Sus scrofa: one gene and its partners. The protein of the gene in region 1 purifies or fractionates together with the protein of each later gene. This does not show direct contact. Links are inferred from orthologs where the notes say so. Each region holds a gene or a part of one and is shown in the gene's direction. Other genes may lie near its edges. The genes, in order: EXOC2, EXOC6, EXOC3, EXOC7 and EXOC8.

The links.
Region 2: the proteins of EXOC2 (region 1) and EXOC6 purify together in Homo sapiens (affinity purification with mass spectrometry; 5 studies listed by BioGRID and IntAct, counting the BioPlex papers as one, with this or other methods). This does not show direct contact. The link is inferred for Sus scrofa from reciprocal best matches to the Homo sapiens genes EXOC2 and EXOC6.
Region 3: the proteins of EXOC2 (region 1) and EXOC3 purify together in Homo sapiens (affinity purification with mass spectrometry; 6 studies listed by BioGRID and IntAct, counting the BioPlex papers as one, with this or other methods). This does not show direct contact. The link is inferred for Sus scrofa from reciprocal best matches to the Homo sapiens genes EXOC2 and EXOC3.
Region 4: the proteins of EXOC2 (region 1) and EXOC7 fractionate together in Homo sapiens (co-fractionation; 4 studies listed by BioGRID, with this or other methods). This does not show direct contact. The link is inferred for Sus scrofa from reciprocal best matches to the Homo sapiens genes EXOC2 and EXOC7.
Region 5: the proteins of EXOC2 (region 1) and EXOC8 purify together in Homo sapiens (affinity purification with mass spectrometry; 7 studies listed by BioGRID and IntAct, counting the BioPlex papers as one, with this or other methods). This does not show direct contact. The link is inferred for Sus scrofa from reciprocal best matches to the Homo sapiens genes EXOC2 and EXOC8.

What each region holds. Positions count from the first base shown.
Region 1 is NC_010449.5:240,438-243,952, reverse strand, and holds part of EXOC2 (exocyst complex component 2), read left to right. Parts: intron 1-833; coding exon 834-900; intron 901-2,817; coding exon 2,818-2,934; intron 2,935-3,515. UniProt on the Homo sapiens protein: Component of the exocyst complex involved in the docking of exocytic vesicles with fusion sites on the plasma membrane.
Region 2 is NC_010456.5:104,546,938-104,550,148, forward strand, and holds the end of EXOC6 (exocyst complex component 6), read left to right. Parts: intron 1-226; coding exon 227-339; intron 340-1,438; coding exon 1,439-1,571; 3' UTR 1,572-2,701; downstream 2,702-3,211. UniProt on the Homo sapiens protein: Component of the exocyst complex involved in the docking of exocytic vesicles with fusion sites on the plasma membrane.
Region 3 is NC_010458.4:79,727,459-79,731,552, reverse strand, and holds the start of EXOC3 (exocyst complex component 3), read left to right. Parts: upstream 1-1,280; 5' UTR 1,281-1,529; exon of another isoform or gene 1,530-1,703; intron 1,704-2,662; 5' UTR 2,663-2,709; coding exon 2,710-2,853; intron 2,854-4,094. UniProt on the Homo sapiens protein: Component of the exocyst complex involved in the docking of exocytic vesicles with fusion sites on the plasma membrane.
Region 4 is NC_010454.4:5,341,484-5,344,998, forward strand, and holds part of EXOC7 (exocyst complex component 7), read left to right. Parts: intron 1-1,204; coding exon 1,205-1,372; intron 1,373-3,515. UniProt on the Homo sapiens protein: Component of the exocyst complex involved in the docking of exocytic vesicles with fusion sites on the plasma membrane.
Region 5 is NC_010456.5:59,190,961-59,195,159, forward strand, and holds the start of EXOC8 (exocyst complex component 8), read left to right. Parts: upstream 1-1,384; 5' UTR 1,385-1,586; coding exon 1,587-3,770; 3' UTR 3,771-4,199. UniProt on the Homo sapiens protein: Component of the exocyst complex involved in the docking of exocytic vesicles with fusion sites on the plasma membrane.

The sequences.
Region 1 (3,515 bases):
ATTGGATTGTTATCCTTTTATTGTTTCTCTTTTTTTTTTTTTTTTTTTTTTGGTCTTTTTAGGGCCGCACCGATGACATATGGAGGGTTGGTCCCAAGCTAGGGGTCCAATCGGACCTGTAGCCGCCAGCCTACACCACAGCCACAGGAACTCGGGATCTGAGCCACATCAGCGCCCTACACCACAGCTCACGGCAATGCCGGATCCGTAACCCACCGAACGAGGCCAGGGATCGAACCCGCAACCTCATGGTTCCTGGTCAGATTTGTTAACCACTGAGCCACGACGGGAACTCCCGCTTCTCTGTTTTTAAATGTTGTTTGATATTTCCATCTGTTTAGTTTTCCTTATGATGCTAAAATCGGTTGGTTAGGCTTAAAGAAAAGACATCCTGTTCGAGTCCTGCTGCGTCTGTCAACTAAGCCGTGGCCCTTGGTGTCGTCCCTCTACCACGTCAGGTGTCTGGTCGCCTGCGGGTTGTTAGGGACGTTCCTAACTCAGCTCACCTGTTAGTCATTTCTATGCACGTGAGCTCAGAACACCCCAGAATGTCTAGATTCTGATGGGCGAGCACGTTTTGGCTGGAGAGTCTGTGCTCGGAACCCCCGCTGCTAGGGATTCGGAAGACCCTGAAGCTCATGTGGCAGGAACCATGGTAAGAGGGTCCCGGTGTCCGTGCTCAGAAACACAGACAACTATGCGACGTTTGACGTTTGACTGAAAGACTTCGAAGTCTTTTTTTGTTGCGGTGCATGTAATCCACCTATGACATTCTGTTCGCGCTGTTTGCTTTAGTGCTTCCACACTCATTCTTCTCTTGTCTCTTTATTCAGCCTCTCCGTTGACGTTGCTTCTCCGGATTTGTTTGGAAGTATCCATCAAGAGCTCAGTTTGACGCCTGTAAGTAGGTTCTGAATGCAGCCCCTCTGTTTTTCCCTGTCGCGTGGCTGGCTCGTTGGATTTGGCCCAGGTGACCAAGGTCTCCGCAGGGACCTGTTCTGGCATCCAGCAGAGGCAGCTGTGGGAAGAAAGGTTTCTGGTTCGCTTCCTGGCCTGCTGCGTGCTGAAGAGCCTGCATCGCAGAGGCTGCAGTAACTGTGGTCCTCAGGCTGCAGGTGCTGCTCGGACAGGTTGCGTTGTTATTTTCAGACGTGTTTATTTAAGTTGTTCATAAGCTTCTGATGAATCATTTAATTTTAGAATTTGATTATTTGTATGTTTAGTTTTTCTTCCCGTGGTTGTTTCTTCTGTTTGAGAAAAAAAAAATGCACTTACGAAGAGTAAAACTTGAAATCACTCAAATAGATTTTCCATTTTAGAAGAACCGTTCAGATCGTAAGGGTAACCATCAACCCGAGTTAACAAACGGACGGGGCACAGCAGGCGTGGCAGGCCGGGCCTGGCCTCTGGAGGAGGCCGGTGCTCAGGGGCAGGCTCCAGAGGGAGAGCCATTAAGACGGGTTGCAAACTGGGACCGCGGGAGAGCATGGCGAGGCGGCGTGCTCTGGGCTGATGGCATGTCACAAGGACTTGGCTCCATGTCCTTTGCAAGGACCACGCAATGGCACCACCAGGCATGGGCAGGAGGTCTGGCCTCCCCCGGCCCCCGCCTGTCACCTCCTGGTGCCCCTCCCTGCAGTGTGAACATAGAGCCTGGTGGAGGGTGGACGTACCGCCTGCTTGTACCTCGTTAGGCTCCCCTTCCCGTCCCCGGTCACTCAGGCCTCAGACGGCCTTCCATTGCTTTGAATGCACTTCAGCAGTTCTGGGGCTTTTTCATTATTTTTGTTGAGGACCACAAAAGACAGCAAAAGGGGCACACTCTGCCAGAAATAAATAAAAAATAAAGTTTTAAATAAACTTTAAAGACAAAAAGTTTCACACGTTTTGAAGGGACTGAACGGGATTCTGGCTGGTGTGGGCTCAGTGAGCGTCGCCCCTGTGGTCTGTGCACCTGCCAGGGCCTGGTTATTCCCTCTGTCCTCCTCCCTTAACCTACAGCACCTGACTGGCAACCAGCAGCCAGCACGGCGTGGGGAGAGCTTCTCCTGGAAAGGAGTTTTGCCCTCATTTTATCAAGGGTCTAAATCAAGGCCCGAATTAGTCACAGTCCTTTCGGAGAAGCCCTCTCACCTGAGGAAGCAGGGGCAGTGCTTGCTGAGCCCCAAGCAACGGCAGCGCCACTCTGGGAACTGTCACAGGGTGTTTTACCATCAGCCGGGGCTCTGTCATTCTGATAAGAAGTTACCCTGCACAGCTAGCTTCCCGGGGAGTGTGGGGTGCCCCCTCCCACCCAGCTGCCTTGGGAGGGCCCCCGGGCCCCTGTCCCCCGACTCCCGTGGGAAGGAGGCTCTGCACAGCCCCTCTTTGATGACATCCCAGTTCTCTTCCACATTATGAGAAGCTTAGAAATTACTTTCTAAGAGTTTTACAACTTGTTAGTAATTATTTTTAAACAGCCATTTTTATAACTCTTGGTGCAAAAAGGATGAAAAGTAGAATCCTTTTCCTGAGAATAGCAGCTGATCCTGCTTGACTGCTTTTCTGTGTCCCATCAATCTCTTCCACACAGCTATTAAATTCCAAAAGGGATTTGAGTCAAAAGTTATTTGACTCTTTAGTGTTCTGTCATAACGAGCAATAGTAGAATTATAGAATTGTATTGTGTTTCTCTGTTATTAAAAGAATTTAGAAAAAGCATTGAATATTGATATTAAACACCAAGTGATTGTAATTAAATTTGCTAGGGGATAAATGTTATCTCTGAGACTTGCAATTTGTTACTGTAAATGTAATTTTCTAAAAACTTGGTTTTAGGAACAGCGACTTCTGATAGTCCTGAGTAACTGCTGCTACCTAGAACGGCACACCTTCCGAAACATAGCAGAACACTTTGAAAAGCACAACTTCCAGGGCATAGAAAAGATCACACAGGTAACCGACTGTGCGGGTGGACAGTGGTTGTGTCGTCTGCTCTGTTTCCAGCCGCGTTCTCAGCGCCATCCCCCCGCTCACCCCACCCCGTTCCTCCCCTGCCCTCATAGCTCCTCGCTCACGGTCGCCAATTCAGCTCTCTCCTCTTTGGAGGGAACAGCTTCTCGAGGTGAGAGCCCCGCTCTTCCCAGTGGTGCAGCTCAGCCCTTTAGCGGAGCGAAGAAAAGGCCGGAAAGGTGCCCAACCCGGGTCTTGAGGAATCAGCCCAGATCTGGCTCCTTTCGGGGTAAAGCGTCTGCTTCCAGCTGATAGCACGTCTCTGCTTCTCTGTCCCATTCCGTCCATGCAACCACAGCCCTGCCCTGGCTTAGCACGTGAGCACGTGCACAGGTGCTGGAGCGCGCGCGCGCGCACACACACACACACACACACACACACACACACACACGAAACTGGCTTCGCACAGCTCCAGGATGTGTGCCTTCTCGCCTAAAACGTACAAACGCTCCGCTCCGCGCTCAAGTCCTGTGTGCAGTGAGGTTGGGCAGAAATGAGTCCTGTATAAACCAATGGAGACGTGC
Region 2 (3,211 bases), on another chromosome or scaffold:
TAGAAAAGCAACCTCTGACAATTTTAGTAATTTCAAAAGTGAAAAGATATTATACACTATGTTGGTTATAAAATGTAGTTAATGCAGTTTTTAAGAATGAATTTCCTTATTATGTTCCATCTGAGAAGCAGGTCACATTAAAATGGATCAAGAGCAGCATATACTTTATATTATCTGTAGATAAATAGCCAAAAATTGGTTTAACGTGTTTCCACATCTTCCTCAGCTCCTTGATCTGTTTATGGTTTGGGACTGGTCTACTTATCTAGCTGATTATGGTCAGCCAGCTTCCAAGTACCTTCGGGTGAATCCAAACACAGCCCTTACTCTTCTAGAGAAGTGAGTATATTCTGCAGTTTTCTTTGCATACCATTTAAGCATTTTGCGATTCAGTGATACTTGAAGAACTAGGGATTTTTATCAAAAGAAAAATGTCTCCATGAGCTTCCAAGTTCAGTTCTTTTCAATGACCAAAACTTAAGCCTCTGTCTTACTCGCCTTCAATGTCAGTGTAATTTTATATGAGATTGCTGTTTACGTTGATATGAACAAAACATTTTTCCTATTGTACCCTCAATACCTGGCTTAATTGGCTTTAGAAATACGTTTACTGGAGGTAAGTGAGAATTGGAACTATTTTTTAAAAATACTGTAACACAGGAAAGAAGGTATTTTGTAAAACATAGCCAGGGATTGGAATGTTTGCCACCAGTGCTGTCTAAATCCTACCATGATGGGCTTGGATTCTTTACAGGTAGAGAAGTATGAGTTTTGAAAAAATAATATTATAAAAACTGAATTAACCAGCGCGCCCTTTCCAGTTAGTAATAACACAACTGTAGGTACTACTTTTCCTTCTCATTATGTGGCAGGTTTTCTTTTCACTTTAGCCTATTTCATTTCATTTTTTTAATCATTTTTCACTTTAAATATCACTATTACAATTTTCAATTTTCCCACATTTCAGAATATCTGTGGTGTATTTGATTTGAGAGAAAACAAATACCTATTTTAAATAAATGTAAACTTGTTTTACAGTGCCATAAAACACAACTGAGGCAAAAAATTTGCTGCTTTAAATTTTCTAGTGTTACTTTTGCTTTCACCCTGTCTTGCTCTGAGTGATACGCAAAGTCTAGAGGGTATATGTTTTAGCATACTTTATGAATGGTATGAGAAAACTTAACATGCTTTATATTTGCATACTAATGCAAAAAGAGGACTTCATATAGAATGCAAAATAAAGCTGCTAATAATCTGTGTGGTTGCTATCTCTGTAATTCTATTAGTAGTACCTATTTTCTTTGAAGTATATTTTTCAAGCATAGGATTAGGGTGAGCTAATCCAGAGCACACCGAGATATTTTACTTGTGACAGTGCAACTTTTAATTTCCTTTTACTAATAAACATTTCATAATAATTCACATATATTCCTAGGATGAAGGATACTAGCAAAAAGAACAATATATTTGCTCAATTCAGAAAGAATGATCGAGACAAACAGAAGTTGATAGAGACAGTCGTGAAACAGCTGAGAAGTTTGGTGAATGGTATGTCCCAGCACTCATAGACTTCACATCGCTTGCACTCAGTGACACCAAATCCGTGACTCATCATTGATCTCTGACAGGCACTGCTCATGATACAGAAAGTTGTTTGAAGAATTCGAAAATACATTAGAGAAAAGACACTGATGAGAGCTTAAACAAGAAACAATTATAAATATCATTTGTATGGATTTTTAAATAATTGAATACTATTTTATATATGGAAAATGTGACATTAATTTTTTTCACTTTTAGGGAAAAAAGGCAAGACTGTAATATATAAATAAGGTCAAAATGTATATGAAACTGATTGTAAATATATTAGAAAAACTTACGTCTCTACATATAAGTATTCTTTTTCTATTTAGACGTAAATGATTTTTTCTGGGTTTTTTTTTTTCCCTCAGTATCTGGTTTTGGAATGCAATTATGTCTGATATTTCATTTTCTGACCTTTTAGCTTGAATTTTTACCTTAGTGTGATTTAAGTAGACTAAGTTTTCCAATTCTGCTGATTCTGAGGAAGGAATAGACAAATCTTTAAAGGCCACTGAAATCAAACTTGATTTAACCCAATAAGAATGTGAATTATTTGTTCTACTGAGGTGGTTTAATTTAATCTGAAGCTATGAAGAAAAGGTGTTTGGATTTTCTACAGAGGCAATGTTGTTTCTGTTCAGCAGGATTAATATTTCTAACTATATTGTTTGTGGCTGACCCTATTTATTTAGTTTGGTTTGGTTCAAGTTAGAAGGACAGAAACTAAACGGCTAACCACCTCAGATGCAGCTTGTGCTAGGATAGAAGTGTTCCTACACACAGAAGTCACCACAGGGGTCAGGTTACCTTCTTCAAAGAGCAGCTCTGAGTACTGTATCCTTACTGTGGAAACAAACCAAACCGAATGAACTCTGGAAAACCCAAAACGAATGTACATTTACTCTGTGTAAAGTACTACGGTCCAAATGGCAATGTCAGCCTGATCCTTACTTTCTCTTCATTGTATTTATGCTGAATGGTCCTTTTGCATTTTCAGGATTTATGCCTGTAAGAAACTTATGTTTGACTCTGTAAAAATAAGTGTAAAGAATTACATGTATGTTTTTTGATTTTGTGATGAAATATTAAAAAGGTTGAGCAAGTTGAAAATTCATTACTATTGTATCTATTTAGAGCCACTTAAAATAACTGCTTCCTTCAGAAAGGCTATTATTCTCTGGTAATTGGAAAGTGTCATCAAAGCAAAGAAAACAATCATATATTCCCTTGGCCAGCTCTTATTCAAAAGTATTTAACATTTTAAAAAACGTTACATAGAAAACATGGTAACAATACAATCTGGAAGTTACAAGAGAAGCAGAATGGGTGAACAGCTAGTTCACCTCAAAGCTAGCTCTCTCTGAGGACTGGAATGTGGTGTCCCTTGGGTGCCTTACCCAGCCCTCCAGGGCACTCAGAACGTCTCCAGCTTGGGCTGAGGCATCCTCGATTCGGAGAGAGAGACATGCTGTCTTTGCACTGCCTGCGGCAGACCACTGTGGGTCCTCAGCAGTGATGGATTTGAGGAGTTCACTTTACTCTTTTCAGTAAAACAAGCACCCTGCACTCTCCCCCACCCCCAACTTCGAGTTGCGCGCTGTAGCGACTATAACCCTGAGACCTG
Region 3 (4,094 bases), on another chromosome or scaffold:
GGTCACGGTTGGTGGACAGGCAGATTAAGCCTTGTTGGTGTGGAATCAGCATCTGGACACCAGCTCTGAGGGGTTTGTGTTCTAAAGGTACCATCATGCTTGGGACCCAGGTCCTGATGTGCCCTGGTCCCTTCCTCTGCTGGGTCGGTGGCAACAAAACTTCCCCCAGTCAGCACTTTTGTGATTTTACAGCCATGCCCCTATGGAAAAATTGTGTGGGGAAGGTGATGATGGAATGTAGAAGGTCAGATCTGGCCATTTCTGTAGGCGTGGCCATTTCTGCTTTAAAATGTCATTACCAGTACTAATTACCGGCTTATATGTTTCTATTGTCTGTAGCTTTTGGCTGTGTAGCTGAGAACATATTAAAATCAAGTATACAGGAATGATATGGAAGGGAAAAGACAAACACAAATTGTATTTTATATTTTTGCAGTTTCTACTGGATGAAAAAAACTTTCAATATGGAGACTGACTCGTTGAATTTTTAAAAATTGGATGCACTATAATGTAACTTTTTGTACTTTTTCTCAGTGCCTTTAGAAAGAGCTTTCAAATGCATTTCTGATACTGTGGTTCTTGTTAAATTCGCAATATGGATGTAAAATAAATGTTAGTATGTGTCTGCTTTAAGTGGAAATGTCTTCTTGATTTTGCAAATGAAGCCCCGCCATCAGATGTTCTAGCTTTGTCTCTGCGAAGTGGTAGTGAGCTGTTCTATGTGCATTTCCTTCCTTCAGTCCATCCCCTGCTGAATACCAGGCCCTGTGATAGTGCTTAAGACACATTAGGAAAAAAAGATGGAGAAATGCGGCTGTGCTGCCGCTGACACCCCTGTGCACGTGTACAGGGGACGGGGTGCAGATAAGTGACCCAAGAGCTGGGTAAATTCTGCAACGCCTCTGGAGGGAACATGGCGGCACAGATGGAACAGCTGGGGTCTTATAGCCAAGCGGCGATTTTGTGGGAAAGGCGGCCTCTGGGCCAAGACGGGGCAGGAGGTGGAGGAGGCCCAGGGACTGGAGGCCCCGCGAGGGCGGGGGCTGGGAGGTTTGGGTTTATAGGGCCACCGCACTGGGGGACTCATACACCTGCCCCCACGTGCCCCCTGCCCCCACGAGCCCAGGCGTGTGCATGTGTGTGCTTGTGCGCCCCGTGTGTGCGGTGTGGCCTGTCTATATGTGGTGTGTGTAGGGTGTCTGCGTGCCTGTGACGTCCGTGAGAGGCGTCTCCGCGCTGGGTGTATGCGCTCGCGCTCCGCCCCTCAGGCTTCAGCCCAGCCGCCCGGTTCCCGGCTCCGCGCTCGTCCCGCAGCCCCGGCCGACTCTCGGCGGGTGCCGGTCGACAGCGGGTCCCGGTCGACAGCGGGTCCCTATCGACAGCGGGTCCCGAAATCTCCCAGCTCTGTGCACAGGGACCCGCCCAACAAAGGTCCCGCCCGCCGGGCCCACCCCCTTCCGGTCACGAGGCCGGAAGCGGAAGTGCCGGTCGCGGCTCACTTCCGGGCGGCGGCGGCGGCGGCTCGCAAGGTGAGGCCGCTGCGGGCGGGTGGCACAGTCCGGGAGTCGCGGTCCGTGGCCGCTGTCCTCTCCCCGGGCTCGGGCGGGTGCGGGCGCGGCCGGAAGGCAGTGCGGGAGGCCGTGGGAGGCCCGGGGACGGTCCGTGGAGAGGCTGACGGCGCGCCAGGCGGTGGGGAGTAGCAGGTGCAGAGCTGCGGGCGCGGCTGGGGGTCCGCGGCGGAGACGGGCGGGGAGACACGCCGGCGCCCCCCAGCCCCGTGTGTCCCGTCGTGTGCGCGGTGCCCTAGTCAGCACCGGGAGGGGAGAGACGGCGCCACAGCACATTCCGAGAGAACACGGAACGCACTCGTGTGCAGACGGGGGAGTTATTTCACAGGTCCCTCAAGGGTCTCCGCGGACCTCGCGTTGCTTTGAGAAATATCTTTGAGAAGCCGTGCGCAGAAAATGTGCATGGAAATGGACTTCAGTAGCTGAAGTCAGTCCTCTGCTTTGCCGAAAGCTCAGCAGGCGTCGCCAGCTCCCTGGCTGGCAGGTTGGAGGAGCTGGCGCTGAAGGCAGGTGTGCTTGTATGCAGCATCTGTGCTGTGTACATTGCATCTGAGCAGAGTGCCTTGTGCCCTCTCACCTCTGTTTACTAGGGCTGTTAAGCAGTAGGGAATGGAATTTTGGGTGCTACAGACAGTGATTTTGAGGGGGATCAGAGGATGGTGCTCAAACTTGAGCAGGCACGGTAAAGTGTGTGCTGTCACTGTGCCTCCATAGCTTTCCTGAGGCGTCCTGGCACCTCGGCCCCACTGGCTAGTCAGGGCTGGTGGCAATTAGAAATTGGACCTGTCCGGGGGAGATTGACATCTGAGGTGCTGAGTAGTCTGGATCCGCATGTTAATATCTTATGCTTGTAATTGCCTCTGCGCCCCTTAGGGATAACACTGGGTTCTGAAGGTTTGTGTTTCATATCAAGGAGGTCATAATCCTAGCTCAGCTGTGTTTCATGTCTATTAGATTAATGATCTCAAATGCTCTCCTTATAGCTCCACTGTGAACAACTGAATGTTACTGGAGCAGGGGGATGCTTTGTACCTGACATCTCTACCTTCCTGACACATCCTCCTCTCCTGTTCTGTCTCTGCCTGTGGACACAGGGTATCCCTAGTATGACAGGTGCAGAGATTCTGCCTGCTCTGTAACCATGAAGGAGACGGACCGGGAGGCTGTTGCAACAGCTGTCCAGAGGGTTGCCGGGATGCTCCAGCGCCCGGACCAGCTGGACAAAGTGGAGCAGTACCGCAGAAGAGAGGCCAGGAAGAAGGCCTCCGTGGAAGCCAGGCTGAAGGTATGAGACTGGAGTGGAGACTGGGGTGGCTGTGGGCGCCTGCTTCACTCTCAGGCTGGACCGAGCCTTTTGTCCCAAGTTCAGGTTCCTGCTTAGCAGAATCATTGTAATTTTGCCGAGCTGGGCTTTGTGATGCCATGAAGAGAGGCAGGCCATGGACTTTGCCTTTGTTAGTGCATCCTTTCCAACAGTTCCTTGCCAGCCGGTAGGTTTATAGAGAAGACCGTGGGAAGATTTAAAAAGCCAGAGGAACAGTCTTTTAAGCACCCAGAAGTGTCCATTTAACTATTTAAAAAAACACTTATTTACTAAAAACTTTCCTTCAGACTGTGTCCAGAGGGCATTTCGTTTGGATCCTGCTAGCACACACAGCAGGAGGCTGACTGTGTGCCAGGCACTCTGCAGGCCCTGGGATGGGAAAGAGGAGAGCTGACCACATTTACTAGAGTGTGTGAGAGTGAGGCAAGAAAGAAAGGCGGCAGCCTTTTATGATTTAGATTGGCTTTCAGCTCATTTCATGTGGAGAGATGAGGTTCTTTTAAAATAATGCACATTTGGTACAGTTATAAAAAAGTTAAGAACCTGGCCTGTTATAGTTGCCTGGCAGCACAGCAGTCTTTGCGGATTTAAGAGAATGCCTTTGATACATGTACACAATGAAATATTACTCAGCCATTAAAAGTAAAGAAAGAATGGCATTTGTAGCAACGTGGTTGGACCAAGAAAATTATCATGCCAAGTGGAGTTAGACAGTGAGACACCAATGTCATATGCTGTCACATGTGGAATTGAAAAAAGGGCACAAGGAACTTCTTTGCATAACAGACACTAACTCACTTTGAAAAACTTTCGGTTTCCAAAGGAGACAGGTTGGGGGTGGGGGGATGGGCTGGGGGTTTGGGATAGAAATGCTGTAAAATTTGGTTGTGATGATTGTTGTACACCTACAAATGGAATAAAATTCATTGAGTTAAAAACACAAAGGGAGAGAATGGCTGTGAGGAAGGTGAATCTTCCCAGCGAGGCGGCAGTGAGGCCCCCTCCAGGTGAAAAGCATTGGTAGCGTCCAGATAATGGCGAGTGTGATGAGATGGAAGGGTGATCACTCATTTGCACCAGCAAAGCATTGAAAGACCTGTTAGGCTGGCTTGAAACAGTTTCATGTCAATTTTAAAAATAGTTTAGACCTGCTACTTTTTTGTGTGTGTGCTTTTTTTAGGGCCGTACCAGTGGTATGTGGA
Region 4 (3,515 bases), on another chromosome or scaffold:
TTTTCACATGGGGTTCCTTGGGATACACTTGTTGGGACCTGCTGAAATGTACCACAGCATCCATACTTCTCCAGGCTCGTTTGCATTTTTGGATTGTCCAGTTTTCTTTAGGGCTGCGCCCATGGCATATGGAGGTTCCCAGGCTAGGGGTTGAATCAGAGCTACAGTTGCCAGTCTACCCCACAGCTGCAGCAACGCAGGATCCAAGCCACATCTGTGACCTACACCACAGCTGATGGCAATGCCGGATCCTTAACCCTCTGAGCGAGGCCAGGGGGGATCGAACCTGCAACCTCATGGTTCCTAGTCAGATTCCTTTCCTCTTTGCCATGATGGGAACCCCCATTGCTCTTCTTATTTAGGGAGTTCTTTGGGGGTATTTTCTCAAAGGTACAGTTATCAGGTAGAACTGTCTGAACAGATCTGTAACCTTCTTGCCGTCTCGAGTTCCTCTCCAGGTAGATGGGACCAGTCTGCTGACCTGTTGACAACCCTGCAGTTATTTCTTCTTCATTAATTTTGCTTATCTTAGCTATTTAACAGGGCTGCCACGGTCCTCTAGTTTTTTTAAATTTGCACTTCGTTCATGGCTAAAGAGATGGTGTGTTTTTTCACTCAGTGACATTCGTTGTCTCTTTACCACCTATAAATTTACCAAGTCGAGGAGTGCCCGCTGTGGCACAGTAGATTAAGGATCCAGTGGTGGCGCAGGTTCAATCCCCGGCAAGCGCAGTGGTTAAGGACCCAGCGTTGCCACAGCGATGGCATAGTTCGAAGCTGCAACTCAGATTTGATCCCTGGCCCAGAAACCTCCATGTGCCGTGGGTGTGGCTGAACAAGATAAAAAAGAATACATTACCAAGTTGAATCCGGCTGCTAATTTTCTATTTTCTTAAAATCTCAAAAACTTACCTGCCCAGCAGAAATTGACAGAACGTTGTAGATCAACTATAATAAAAAAAAATTCTAAAAGAAAAAAAACCCCTCACCTTCAGAACTTACAACGAATTATTGGTTCTGCGGGGAAATGTCTTCCCTTTTAAGGCTTTTCCAGATGCAGGACGAGGCCACGAGGCTGCTGGGAAAGGGTCTGCAAGTGGAAAGAGCGGGCCTGCTGCTGCCCTCTGGAGCTGCCTCTGGCGGGGGAGGGGGGCCCCGGGGTCTGGCGGAGGCAGGGACCCAGCTGTCACCCGTCTGTCCGCAGATTTCATGAACGTCTACTACCAGATCCGCTCGAGCCAGCTGGACCGCTCCATCAAAGGCCTGAAGGAGCACTTCCGGAAGAGCAGTTCTTCCTCTGGGGTTCCCTACTCCCCCGCCATCCCCAACAAGAGGAAAGACACACCCACCAAGAAGCCAGTCAAGCGGCCAGGTGAGCCCCCGCCCTGGCCCACTTCAGAACCCGCCAGAAGGCTGTGGGACCTGGGTGGCCTTTGGCCACCCACCCCGGGGTGGGCGGCGCCAGGGCCCTAGGGTTTGTCCTCACGGTAGCCCCTGACTGTAGGGGCACAGGACAGCAGGCAGGTGTCCGCCCCCCAAAAGAGCTCCTCTCTCCACCCAGCCGAGTCTAGGGCTTATATAAGTGTCCTTGGAGTGGAGGGTCACAGCACGGAGACGTGGGGTGACAGGGGTGCCGGAGCAGAGCCACTTATTGGGCCCCCGTCCTCTCCCTCTAGTGTCCTGTTGGGAGGCCAGGCATGCTGCTGCCACCCAGCTGTGAGATTGGGGCAGGGTGTCAGGGGTGCAGGGCGAGGGGCAGGCACTGCAGCCTTCACCTCCCAGAAAGCCAGAGTGGCCTGAAGTGATGAGTAGCTAAGAAGTGGAGAGCAGAGGAGTTCCCTGGTGGCTCAAAGGGTTAAGGATCTGGTGTTGTCACTGCTGTGGCTCTGGTTACTATTGTGGCGCAGGTTCGATCCCTGGCCCGGGAATTTCCACATGCCTCAGCCATGGCAAAAAAAAAGTAGATACAGGAACGTTTATGCTTTTACAGTCAGTCCAGAAAGAAAACCATCCCAGGCCATCCTCTCCAAAGACCCTCACCTGGCTTTTGGGCTCCGCAAGAAGTTGGTGCCTTGCGGTGGGAGAGTTGAGGGAGGGGCATTGAGGTGGAAGAGGCCTGGGCTGTGGCTTGTTGGTTGGCCTGGGCGAGCAGCTCACTGTCTGTCCTTCTTCCCATCATCCTGTCCCCTGTAGTCTCTGCTCCAGGTGACAGTGTCCCTGTGTGTCAGCTTCGGCTTGACAAGCCTGGCTGTTCTGGCTGCTGAGAGGGGTTGCCTTCGAGAGGCCGGGGTGGGGGTTCCAGCGGAGGGGCTGCAGGCACCAGGAGAGAGAGCCAGCGAGCCCTGGGGCTGCTCCCACTTTCGCCCACCCCGTCCAGCTGCTCTGGGACCCGTCCCTTGGGACAGTGTTTTCCCGAGCTGCCCGGCCTCTCAGAGAGCAGGAGATCTGCTCACAGTGGCCCGAGCATCTGCTCCTCCCCAGCGCTTTGTTCAGGGCTTAGAGAAATGGCAGAGGCTGCCCGCAGAGGCACAGCGTCGAGGTCCAGAGGCCGGGCAGCCCAGCAGAAAGTGCACAGCCTTCCCCTCCAGCTTGGCTCTCCTGGCTGCTCCCTCGGAGAACCTGCCACGGTCAGGGACTCTACAAGCCAGCCAGGGCAGCCGCAGCTGCCTGCTCGAGGCCTGGTTCGTGCCTGTGCCTCGTGCATTGGGCTGCGGCTGTTTCCACGAGGCTGCTGGGCCCCGGCCGGGCTGTGCTTTCTTCCCCTCTGTCTCCTCTGGGACCCCTGGAGGCCTGGAACCCAGGCCACATGCAGGATGCTGCTGGCCATGCAGGGACCAGAGATCTGATCTTTGGGCTCCCAGTGGACCTCATCCATCCCAGCCCTGTAGCCCTAGAAGGAAAACGCCGGCTGTGAGCGTCCCTCTGGTTTCTTTGGGGTTTCAAGGGTTGTCCGGAACCTTGGGGCTCAGGTCCGATGTTGGGAGCTAGAGGCAGGCCCCCAGCTCTTGAGGAGAGGGGCAGGGTGGCCTCGGGGGTAACGAGACACCAGCCTCAGCGACATCCGTGGTAACTGGGCGCCTGATGGCTTTAGCGGCTGCCAGATCAGCGTCCCCGACCCACATACATGCCAGTGTGCTGGCGAGGCTCCTGATGGCCCGGCGGGCCCATCTGGTCCTAGTTGGTTGTGGGGCGGGAATCTGAATCGCTCATTAGCAGGACTACTTGCTGAAGGAGGAGAACACAGCGAGACAGGTGCCGGGCTGGAGCCGCACACTGGCTCATGAGTAACTAATTGTGGTTGGCACAAACAGCCGCTCCAGACGCCGTCCCCTCTCCCTCAGTCCTTTGGGGAGCTGCCAGGACCCCAGCAGGCTCCCCGTGTTCAGAGCTGCGGTGGAGGACCTGGGCGTCTCCAGGGAAAAGGGACCAGATCCCACTCAGGGCTGCCTTCCCGGCCCCGGCCCATCTGGTTATCAGGGCAGCTGCGCATGTCTGTTTTCAGTGCTGTTTTTATA
Region 5 (4,199 bases), on another chromosome or scaffold:
TCCCATCCTGCTGCTGCCTGTCCTCTCCCTAAAAGGTGTAATCAACCAGTCTGTGGTGGAAAGGGCCAGATCTCCACTAGTGTTCCTCCGAAATTATAATTATATATGAAGGAGAACTGTGCTTTCAACGCAACTTCATATCATATCTTAACTCCTTATTCTAGGTGGTTTTGTATCAATTCAAAAACTAGCAGGTAGTGTTCAGCTACACCTTAAACTTGTTAACTCCGTTGGTGTACAGGAGTCGTTTATTTCAAAAGGGGTTTTCTCCAACTCAGCGGGTAAGAAAAGGGTCCTTTCACAGGGCTCCCGGAAGACCCCCGCGTCCCAAAGTTATGGAAACATAGACCCCTTCCCAAGCTGACACACGGCTCACTGCAAGGCAGCGGCGCCGTAAAGACCACAGCTGAGGACAGCACACTTCCCGGCGCCCTCAGCATCTTTAGGGGCCGATTCTGGCTGTTTCTCCCTCCTGGGTCCTAGATCAGAAAGGGGAAAGGGGTGAACTCATTTTCCTGGAAACTGAGAAACATCCTTCTCTCTCACTGTGTTCCTTACCGGTCAGATCGCCGCGGGGTGGGCCACACGGCTTTCTGAGAGCTAACCAAGGGCAGTGAGAGAGGAAGGAAGGGAAGGGAGAGGAAGCCCGAGAACGGCTGGCTGTCCCTAGACCCGACCCGGGTCACTGCCCCGGCGCCGGGGCAGCGGAAGGGCCGCCAGCTGTCCGGTCCCGGCGGGCTCGGCACTCACAGCGTCATCCGCACGCTCCACTTCACTTCCACCGCCTCCAGTTTGCCCCAGAAGAAACGATCGTTGAACTGCACAAACAGGGCCTGCAAATCCGGCGTGGGGTCCACCAACTCCCAGGACGCGTCCACCAGCGACAGGGGCTCCTGGGCCGGATTGCGCTCCGAGACCTGCAAGTTCCACTCTTCCTGAAGCCGAAGAGCCAGAACCAGGTCCTCATCCATGGCTGCCCGGCTACCAGGCGGAGTCCAGATGGCTCAGAGAGCCTAGCCGTGCTCCTAGGAGATACCAGCTCCCAGGCCACTCTCGGGTCAGGCCACAGATCTCGCGAGACCTAGTAAACTCCGGCTCGAGAAAGAGAACCGAGCGTGCCCCGAACTCCAGTCAAGATTCTAGGGCTTAAAACAACAAAGAAAATTCAGCATGACACCTCCTAGTGGGCTCAACACTTGGGTTCCCGAAGCTTGAGCCCGAGGAAGGTTTCAAGTAGCCGGATACCGCCTTTACGGTTCGCGGGTACGGTCAAACATCAACGTCATGCTCGGCCCATGCGCAGTATCTACACCTCGCTGCTCCGCCCTCCACTCGCTTCCGCAGGAGCTTCTCCGGCGCATGCGCCCTAGGCCACTGGCGACCCTGCGCCGGCGCGCTGTTTGCGAGGGGCATCTTGCGCAGGCGCAGTGTCCGGACTTCAGACCCGGGCGCAGGCGTACTCGCCTGTCTTCCATCCTGCTTCCTCAGCCCTGGACTCGGCCGGGTTGGGTGGGCCTCGACAGTGGCGGCGGCGGCAGCGGCGGCGGTAGTAATAGTGACAGTGACTACGTGAGTCCCCGACGGAAATGGCGATGGCGATGTCAGACAGTGGGGCGAGCCGCCTGCGGCGGCAGCTGGAGTCGGGCAGCTTCGAGGCGCGGCTGTACGTGAAGCAGCTCTCGCAGCAGTCGGACGGGGACCGGGACCTGCAGGAGCACCGGCAGCGCATCCAGGCGCTGGCGGAGGAGACGGCGCAGAACCTGAAGCGTAACGTCTACCAGAACTACCGGCAGTTCATAGAGACGGCCCGCGAGATCTCCTACCTGGAGAGCGAGATGTACCAGCTTAGCCATCTGCTGACCGAGCAGAAGAGCAACCTGGAGAGCATCCCGCTCACCCTGCTGCCGGCCGCCGCCGCAGCCGCTGCTGGGGCCGCCACCGCCTCCGGAGGGGAGGAGGGTGGAGGCAGCGCGGGGGGCCGCGATCACCTCCGGGGCCAGGCTGGCTTTTTCCCAAGTCCCGGGGGCGCCTCCCGCGACAGTTCTGGTCCGGGCGAGGAAGGGAAGCAGCGCACTCTTACCACTCTGCTGGAGAAGGTGGAAGGCTGCAGGCACCTGCTGGAGACGCCGGGACAGTACCTGGTGTACAACGGGGACCTGGTGGAATACGAGGCGGATCATATGGCCCAGTTGCAGCGAGTGCACGGCTTTCTCATGAACGACTGTTTGCTGGTGGCCACCTGGTTGCCACAGCGGCGGGGGATGTATCGCTACGACGCCCTCTATCCCCTGGATGGTTTGGCCGTAGTCAATGTCAAGGACAATCCCCCCATGAAGGACATGTTCAAGTTGCTAATGTTTCCCGAGAGTCGTATTTTTCAGGCGGAAAATGCAAAAATCAAACGCGAGTGGCTGGAAGTGTTGGAGGAAACCAAGAGGGCCCTCAGTGAGAAAAGACGCAGGGAGCAGGAGGAGGCAGCGGCCCCTCGAGGGCCACCCCAAGTGACTTCCAAGGCCAGCAACCCGTTTGAAGATGAAGACGACGACGAACCAGCTGTTCCTGAGGCGGAAGAAGAGAAGGTGGACCTCTCAATGGAATGGATCCAGGAATTGCCCGAAGACCTGGATGTTTGCATCGCCCAGAGGGACTTTGAAGGGGCCGTTGACCTGCTGGATAAGTTGAACCAGTACCTGGAAGATAAGCCCAGTCCACCTGCTGTAAAAGAACTGAGGGCCAGAGTGGATGAGCGTGTCCGCCAGCTCACCGAGGTGCTGGTTTTTGAACTCTCCCCGGATCGGTCCCTGAGAGGCGGTCCCAAGGCTACGCGTCGGGCCGTTTCTCAACTAATCCGGCTTGGCCAGTGCACTAAGGCTTGCGAGCTGTTCTTGAGAAACAGGGCAGCAGCTGTGCATACCGCAATCCGCCAGCTTCGCATCGAGGGTGCCACCTTACTCTATATTCACAAGCTCTGCCACGTCTTCTTCACCAGCCTTCTCGAGACGGCCAGGGAGTTTGAGGCGGACTTCGCAGGCACCGACGGGGGCTGCTACTCGGCCTTCGTGGTCTGGGCGAGGTCAGCCCTGGGCACGTTTGCGGCTGCCTTTAGCAAACAGGTGTTCGACAGTAAGGAGAGCCTCTCCACTGCAGCTGAGTGTGTGAAGGTGGCCAAGGAGCATTGTCAGCAGCTGGGTGACATCGGGCTAGACCTCACCTTCATCATCCACACCCTCCTGGTGAAAGACATCCAGGGGGCCTTGCACAGCTACAAGGAAATCATCATCGAAGCCACTAAGCATCGCAACTCAGAGGAGATGTGGAGGAGGATGAACTTGATGACTCCAGAGGCCCTGGGTAAACTCAAAGAGGAGATGAAGAGCTGTGGGGTGAGGAACTTTGAGCAGTACACGGGGGATGACTGCTGGGTGAACCTGAGTTACACGGTGGTGGCTTTCACCAAACAGACCATGGGCTTCTTGGAAGAGGCGCTGAAGCTGTATTTCCCGGAGCTGCACATGGTGCTGTTGGAGAGCCTGGTGGAAATCATTTTGGTTGCTGTTCAGCATGTGGATTACAGTCTTCGGTGTGAGCAGGATCCAGAGAAGAAGAATTTTATCAGACAGAATGCATCCTTTCTGTACGAAACAGTCCTGCCTGTGGTGGAGAAAAGGTTTGAGGAAGGTGTGGGGAAACCCGCCAAGCAACTTCAGGACCTGAGAAATGCATCGAGACTGATTCGTGTGAATCCCGAAAGTACAACGTCAGTGGTCTGACACCTGGACCTGTTTATGTGTATACGTATATATGGCTTATATATATTATTTATATTTATATTAAGTTGCATTAGCGTATTCTTTATAGTCTCAAACACAGCCTAAAAATAAAAGATGCCTTCTCAGAAATGCGAAAATCAAAAGGAGATTGAAAAACATGTTAAACCCACGTAACAAAAACATTGAATTAGTAGAACATACAATATGCTTTCCTTTTAAATTATGCTAACTCTCTAATGACTATATATCGTCACACCAGAGCATTTCAACTTGTGTTTTGAAAGTTTCCCAGTTCACTAGGTTTCTTAAAGGGCACAGTGCCATTCCTGCCTCGTGTACTTCTGCACCTTAAAATGTGGTTGAACAATTTGGGGAAAAGAAAGGAGGAGTTGAGAAAACTGGTTTCAGGGTAAATTTTGGTCAACAGAA